Danio rerio: one gene and its partner. The protein of the gene in region 1 purifies or fractionates together with the protein of each later gene. This does not show direct contact. Links are inferred from orthologs where the notes say so. Each region holds a gene or a part of one and is shown on either strand. Other genes may lie near its edges.

Region 1 (3,432 bases):
ATTAATTTTTTTTTTGGTGCAAACATGATTTTAGGGGTGGTAAAATGTATATTGAAGTTATTTATTATTTTATTTATTAATATGTGTTAAGATACAGATCAGAGCAAACTGTTAACTATTAAAGGGCAGACTCGTCCATATATTTTGTTTTCATGTTCTTTGGGGGTGGGGGGTCAAGCATTAATTAGGGGAAACCCCCCTGTAATTCGCACCCTGCTTCTATGTAATGCATGGAAAATGACTGGTGCTAACTAAGCTACAAAATAACCATCATTATAGAACAAATAAGTTTGTACAAATTTGTAATCCTCCGACACACAAATTACTGATGACCTTTTGGCTGCTCTTTTTAGATAAACATTTGCACAATGTTATTACGCATTAAAGTACAACACTTAAATCATCATACTAGAGTAGAGGCCAAAACAAAATGATGGTTTCAGCTTATCAGTAAAATAAAAATGCTTTCATTGCATCACGCGGTGGAACAAAGTTTCTAGTGTCAAAAAAATGGATTTAGGGTACAAAAAACATTACATTTTTTAAAAGGTTTTGCGAACAGATGACAAAACTGTCTGCAAAAGCTGCATTACACATGCCAGACTAGTAGTTGGTGATTAAACGTATTAAAGAAACACTATGCTCCCTTACACATTGTTTGTCAAGTAATCCAGCATGACAAACAGTCACAATGTCCCTTTAAAATGTCACAGGTTTTTAACAAAATCACGTTTCTGTAGTCAATAATGGTACCACTTTCAAAAACATGTAAATGAACACCTAAAAGTGTTAAATCATGCATCAAAAGACACCAACAGCCAACACAGAGATCTCGTTTTATTTAGAGGCCTCATTTAATCGATAGGTATGAATTCAGTTTACACAAAAACCTTTTAAAAAAGTCAACATGCGGTGATCACAAGGATAGAAAGAAGAGCCTATAGATTCAGAACAAAAGATTGGAGAATGGTGTCTAGGCCATACATGTCAAATATTCACAGTGACTCATGTTTCTTTTCTTGTCCATGTATTCATACAGTTTTAAACGTACAAGGAAGGCATTGTTCTGACACAGAACAGTCAAACATCAAAAGCTTTAGGAATTTTGAAAAAAAAAAACCCTGTACCAAAGTCCAGTTGACTTGCAGGATCCCAACGCACTGCTCCACACCTCCACGACTATCTCATAATTTAAGGAGGTAAACCTGTAAGGACTCTATCATCTTTAGTTCCGAAAGGAAAAGCTGTCATTTGTTTAACATCTAGTTTACGTACCAATTGCCGTGTCCTGGATGAGGCCTTTTTTTCAGTATATATTTAAGGAAGTGGAGACCTGTTCTCTCACAAAGTGGTCTAAAAAAACAAACAAATAAATGCAGGACATAACGCAGCGGAGATACGTTCCTCTCGCTGAAGTCTCTGAAAACATATTATGCACAAATTACTTCGAGCAATATTTTAAAATGTCCAAAAGGAAATTTCCAAACTTTTAGGTCAGTTTCTTGTCACTTCTATTGTTAGGAGGCATCTTTTGTGAAACAGCAGCTTCCTGTGGACACCCTAAAACCAGCATTCCAAACAAATCTGGCTGTTTGAGAATCAGAAATAGTCCTTGTTATTTCACACAGCTGTGATATACAAATGATACTGACCTCCGAAGCTACATCGTCCAAAACAAAAGCGCGTTTCATATCGCATGAAGTACAAACACTTTATAAAATGGCTAGTTTCGTATAAAGTAAGGCACTGCGTTTACTTTTATTCTCTGGAATAGTGCTGATCAACAACTCGGCTGGTTTGGGCCAGTTTACACGTAGGCCCCCAAAGCTGCGTGGAACTCGGTGAGGCATTGGACGAGCTGCTGGAATTTTGGTCTCTCTTCCGGATCCAAGGCCCAGCAACACGCCATCACTGCAAATCTGAAACGGAGAACATCCTCATATAAACAAAGCATTATGTTTTGTTTTGCTGTGGCAGATTTATCAGAGAATAAATAACTGGGTCCACAAGATGTATTGGTCTTGATTACGTTTGACAGCAACAATGGAGTGAAAGTTGAGATCACCTTATCACTCAGTTTCTATTCCAGCTTTCCAACACACAAGGCAAGCCGCAGAACACTTATTCATCGCTTGGTCTCTGGAGGGAAAGTGTGCTAAGCTACGATCCAACACTGATTAGCTTTTCCTGCGTCGTCTAAACTATGTTCCGGTGCTCACGCGCGAGACAATAAATCGTGCTCTGTTTGGGTCACTGACACGGTCAACAACACTTGTTGCTTTGTAATTCCTGGCCGGTTCGATCACCACGGCTCCGGTTGCCTAGCTATTGCAGGATGCCGATAAGGGTCAGATTGTGCAGGCAGCCAGCAGTTGTTGAACTTGGATCAATCTGTCCGTTTCATTTTCTAACAGTTGGGTTGGTTCCCTTACAAAGTAATCAAGACTTATGAAAGCTGTTACTGACACTTTGGGAGTCTTGCCAGTCACGCAGTAATGCAATAGTTTGTTCATTTTAAAATAATTGGCAATCCAGTACGTGCACACCAAGTTAAAAATTAAATTGTCATACTCACAGTTCATCGGGGCAGTTGATGGGTTGTGCTATTCTGTAACCATCTTTTAGATAGGCGGCCATCTCGAAGGGGTCAATGTCAACGTAAGGAGTCTGTCCCAAAGTCATCAACTCCCATAGAGTTACTCCGAAAGCCCACTGTAAGAAAACATCACACAAGAGTTCAGGCAAGGCGCAATAAGGCACAATGACTTAAAAAGAAAGAGGATTCCTCTCTTTAACAAGTGATGTAAACACTCGAGGCAGACGTTTAGGAAAAAGTCTGTTGTGTGCTTACAGGTCCTTATACTGTACATAAACACAGAAGATAAGAAGATTCCAATCTTTATATTGGGCTTATGGGAAGTTTCTTGTAATGAGCAAACTTTAAATAAAATTGAAAATATAGATAAGTATATATATAGAAGTTATATTTATTTTCTGAATTAATGTATGCGTTTTAACTATTTTCTATTATTCAATATAAATGTCACTAAAATATAAACACACCTTTTACCCACAGCACATAAAGTCAACTATATGCGATAAAAAAATAAAATAAAAATTCTTTCATTCTTTCATTTTCCTTCGGCTTAGTCCTTTGAACAAACCGCCAACCTTTCCAGCATGCTTTACACAGTGCATGCCCTTCCAGTTGCAATCCAGTACTGGGAAACATCCATACTATTTTACACACATACACTACGGCCGATTTACCTTATTCAATTCACCTATACTGCATGTGTTTGGACTGTGGGGGAAACCAGAGCACCAGTAAAAAATCCAGGCAAACACGAGGAGAACATGCAAACTCCACACAGAAATACCAACTGACCCAGCCGGAACTCAACCTAGCGACCTACTTCCAATAAGGCGACA
Region 2 (4,423 bases), on another chromosome or scaffold:
TATGCTGTAATGACTAATTTGCTGAGTAGAATTTTAACGCGACAACAGAGGGCGCTGTTTAGCGACATTTGGCGCACTGTTCTTATGAATAGCGGGGCTTCCATCCTTCTGCAGCCGGCAGCTCCGGTCCAGTCACCTCGCGCTGGGGATTCAGCCAGCTCAGCCATCTCAGCCACACTTCAGTGGAGTAAAAAAAAAAAAAAACGCACATCCCTTGAAACATGAACTTTCATAAACAGGCATAGTGCAGAAAATATATTCTTAAATGTCATGCACACTGTCGATTTATGTTTAATGAAGAAATGATTTTAGCTTTGGAACGCGCAAGTTACTAACTATGCGATGTATATAAAATCGTAGCTCTTTGCTGTGCGCTTGATGGTCTCCATCAGAGTTCTGGTCACGGAGAGTCGCCGCGCTCGCTCTCTCACTCCTTTACACCGGTGAGTCAACGGCGCGTCGCTGTCCGTGGTGCCTTTTCTGCGCAAAAAAAGCCCATAGCAGATGGAGGAGCATGAGTGTGAAGTAGTAGAAGTGCTCATCGCATACATATTCGTGACAAAGAAATGTTCTCACCACAAACGACCACACGCATTTAAATTCTAACAGACCGAGAAGCCGCAAGGGGCTCTGAAACCGAGATGATCTGACTTGTACGGAGTGGCATAATGAATAGGGTACTGTTATGCACGGAGCCAGGGGTGTAAACAAACATATATTTTACAGTTTCCTCACCTTTTCTGTTTGTTTTAATTTGATAACATAAGGTTATCTTGTTTATAACATTTTATAAAGTTTTTTAAGGTGAATGCATTTGTGTTGTAACACGAGATGGAAAGTGCTGACGCGTTAATATATAGGCCTATCATTAATCTATCAAACGCACCACTTCTATGACGTGCTATCCCATTTAAGACCTATGACTTGTGCACTGCATTCTTAAAAAAAACGCCTTCCAGATAGAATGTTTCCCTAAAGTTTGAAGACAAACCAGTCTAAATATTCTACTCCTGCTTAAAGAAATCGTGTTTGAATAAGGATGTAACCATAGCAACAGTTCCGTTACGCTTTAGTGCCATCGACAAAACGTAAGTAATGTCATTTAATGACTTTACTATAGAGCTGCACACCGTAAACGTAATGCAGGCATATTTCAGATAGCTGACGGTTGACTAACCAGTTTTACTTTGCGCAACACCCAAGCACTCAGCAGAATGTGATTCCCTTTACAAAGTCGAGCCCCTTTTGGGAGGCATTTAAGATTTCGAACACAGTGAACCACCAAACACTCTATAAATGTTCATTTCTGGACAATAAATTATTTATGTACTTTCTTCTTGCAATAAAAAATGCCCTTCTGAACCAAAAGGAAGAGACCCTCCTCAAACAGTAAAACTAAGCGATCAAGTTGAGCTTTGTTTGTCGCACAGGGAGCGCAGCGTGAAGGGGGTGGAGAGAGAGGGAGAGAGAGAGAGAAAGAAAGAGAGAGAGACTCGAGCGCAGAGTGCGGCATATACACACGCGCTTCTGCTGCAGGTGAGAGGCGCGCGCTGGACAGAGGAACCGTCCTCGCGCTGGAATTTTAATACCACATTCCTAGCATCTCTGCCAGGATTATAACTCCGTTATTGTTCAGTTTTGCATTTTGCCTTAACGCTGAACGGCACTGCGGAGATTTTCCCCATTTTTTTTTCGCTCTCTGGTGCAAGTGAGAGAACTATTAGACGCTGAGTGGACTGGAGAAATCTGTGCGCGCGGACACGGCACACGGATAGCACAGATCTTTTGCGGCTTATAACCACAGCACATGAAGTTCTGATATTTCAGTTTCTATTCCGTATGGTGGGATATCATCTGGAGAGGAGAGTTCGCATTTGGGAAGGCTGGATTTAAAACCTCATCAGTTGATTGCGCAATGGATTGAATATCTGGCTTCGATGATTTTAATGAAGACTCGGCGATGTCAAGTCATGGCAAACACGGAGTAGTCTCAGCAAGTAATTTATGGCATGTTTATTTCAAGCTTAATACTGAATGAATTTGTGAAGACTTTCTGTCAGTGCTGTGTATATGTTTGAGAGAAAAACCTATTTATAAAAAAAGAGGAATTGCGCGAGTCTAGTCTGAGCGGGGGAAAAAAACAGATATGCGCTAGTTTGGTTACCACATAGAGGTGCCCGGTTGTGAAAACGCATGCAGTGAGACAGGCGCGTTAACACAAGCAAGAAAAAGCTGTTAAACAGAATTCACGTTCAGTTTTGCTGGAAAAGCCGCCAGGAGCTATGAGGACTACAGGCATTGTGGACTATTTAAGCTACTGCTTTCTTATTCTGCAGCTGCTGAGTCAGCCCGCAGCCAAGCAAGTGCTCCGGTACCGCCTGGCTGAGGAGGGTCCTGCCGATGTCCGGGTAGGTAATGTAGCCGCGGACCTCGGCATCACGGCAGGCATGGACGTGACTTTTACATTAGAATCAGGCTCCGAGTACTTCAAAATCGATAACATGACCGGAGACCTCAGCACAAACGAGCGGCGAATAGACCGCGAAAAGCTGCCGCAGTGTCAAATGATTTTTGATGAGAACGAATGTTTTATAGATTTCGAAGTGTCTGTGATAGGACCCGCGCAGAGCTGGGTTGATCTCTTCGAAGGCAAAGTGATTATTTTAGACATTAACGACAACACGCCGTCTTTCCCCTCACCTGTTCTCACGCTCTCCGTTGAAGAGAACCGACCCATTGGCACACTTTATCTCCTGCCCACTGCCACCGACAGAGATTTTGGTCGGAATGGAATTGAGCGATACGAGTTAATTCAGGACAACGGCGAGAGCACTGTCAGGCGAATCGGCACTTCCGGCTCGGGCAGTGTTGACAGTCACTCGGGCAAGCGGAGGTTCGACGAGGGAGCAAGCCGTAGCAGCGTCTTTGAACTTCAAGTTGCTGACACCACAGACGGCGAGAAGCAGCCGCAGCTAATTATCAAAGGGGCTCTGGACAGAGAACAGCGCGACTCCTATGAGCTGACTCTGCGGGTTAGAGATGGGGGCGACCCCCCACGCTCCTCCCAAGCCATTCTGAGAGTAATGATCACAGATGTAAATGATAACACCCCACGCTTTGAGAAAAGTGTTTATGAGGCAGACCTACCAGAAAACAGTTCCCCAGGTGCCCCCATACTCCAGCTAAAGGCAGGTGACACTGACGTTGGTGTTAATGGACAGATCGAGTATGTTTTCGGAGCAGCCACAGAGTCAGTGCGACGACTGCTGCGGCTTGATGAGAGCACTGGCTGGCTCAGTGTTTTGCACCGAATTGATCGTGAAGATGTGAGCCAGCTTCGTTTCACAGTCATGGCACGTGACCGTGGTCAGCCTCCTAAAACTGACAAGGCGACAGTGATCATAAACATCAAAGATGAAAATGACAATGTCCCAAATATTGACATCCGAAAAATTGGACGCATCTTTCTGAAAGACGGCGTGGCTAATGTGGCAGAGGATGTGATTGTCGATACACCCATTGCTCTCGTGCAAGTGTCAGACAGAGATAAAGGACCAAACGGTATAGTGACATGCACTGTAGTGGGTGATGTTCCTTTTCAGCTGAAACCTGCCAGCGAGGTCGAAGGTGACATGAATAAAAAGAAGTACTTTCTCCACACATCAGCACCACTTGATTATGAAGCCGTGCAGGAGTATAACGTGGTCATTGTTGCCGTGGACTCTGGGAGCCCTAGTCTTTCTAGCAACAATTCACTAATAGTGAAGGTGGGGGACATGAATGACAATCCACCAGTTTTTAGCAAAAGCACAGTGGAGGTTTCATTTCCTGAAAACAATGCTCCCGGTGAGCGTGTTGTCACAGTAGTGGCCTTAGATGCAGACAGTGGCAAAAATGCTGAAATCTCCTACTCCCTGGACTCCTCTGTGAACGGAATATTTTCAATTGATGCAGACACAGGTGACATCCGTGTCAACACCATACTTGACAGGGAGCAGACGGAACGATATGAGTTCAAAGTTATCGCCAAAGACAAAGGCATGCCAGTTCTGCAGGGCTCAGCCACGGTGGTAGTTTTGGTGGCAGATAAAAATGACAATGAGCCAAAGTTCATGCAGGATGTGTTCACTTTCTATATACAGGAAAACCTTCAACCCAACAGTCCTGTTGGCATGATTACAGTCATGGACGCTGACAAAGGGCAAAATGCAGATATGAGTCTGTACATTGAGGAGGAGGAGAACATTTTCTCCATTGACAACAACACAGGTACCATTTTCTCAAACATGGCTTTTGATCGTGAGCAAAGAAACAATTATTCATTCCGTGTCAAAGCTGTTGATGGTGGCGATCCACCTCGGTCTGCTACGGCCACGGTATCTCTCTCTGTAATGGATGTAAATGACAATCCTCCCACTGTTCT

The links.
Region 2: the proteins of ryk (region 1) and pcdh7b purify together in Homo sapiens (affinity purification with mass spectrometry; 3 studies listed by BioGRID and IntAct, with this or other methods). This does not show direct contact. The link is inferred for Danio rerio from reciprocal best matches to the Homo sapiens genes RYK and PCDH7.

The regions. Positions count from the first base shown.
Region 1 is NC_133181.1:30,101,180-30,104,611, reverse strand, and holds the end of ryk (tyrosine-protein kinase RYK precursor), read right to left. Parts: intron 2,713-3,432; coding exon 2,576-2,712; intron 1,920-2,575; coding exon 1,808-1,919; 3' UTR 818-1,807; downstream 1-817. UniProt on the Homo sapiens protein: May be a coreceptor along with FZD8 of Wnt proteins, such as WNT1, WNT3, WNT3A and WNT5A. Involved in neuron differentiation, axon guidance, corpus callosum establishment and neurite outgrowth.
Region 2 is NC_133182.1:66,389,920-66,394,342, forward strand, and holds the start of pcdh7b (protocadherin-7b), read left to right. Parts: upstream 1-1,489; 5' UTR 1,490-2,282; coding exon 2,283-4,423.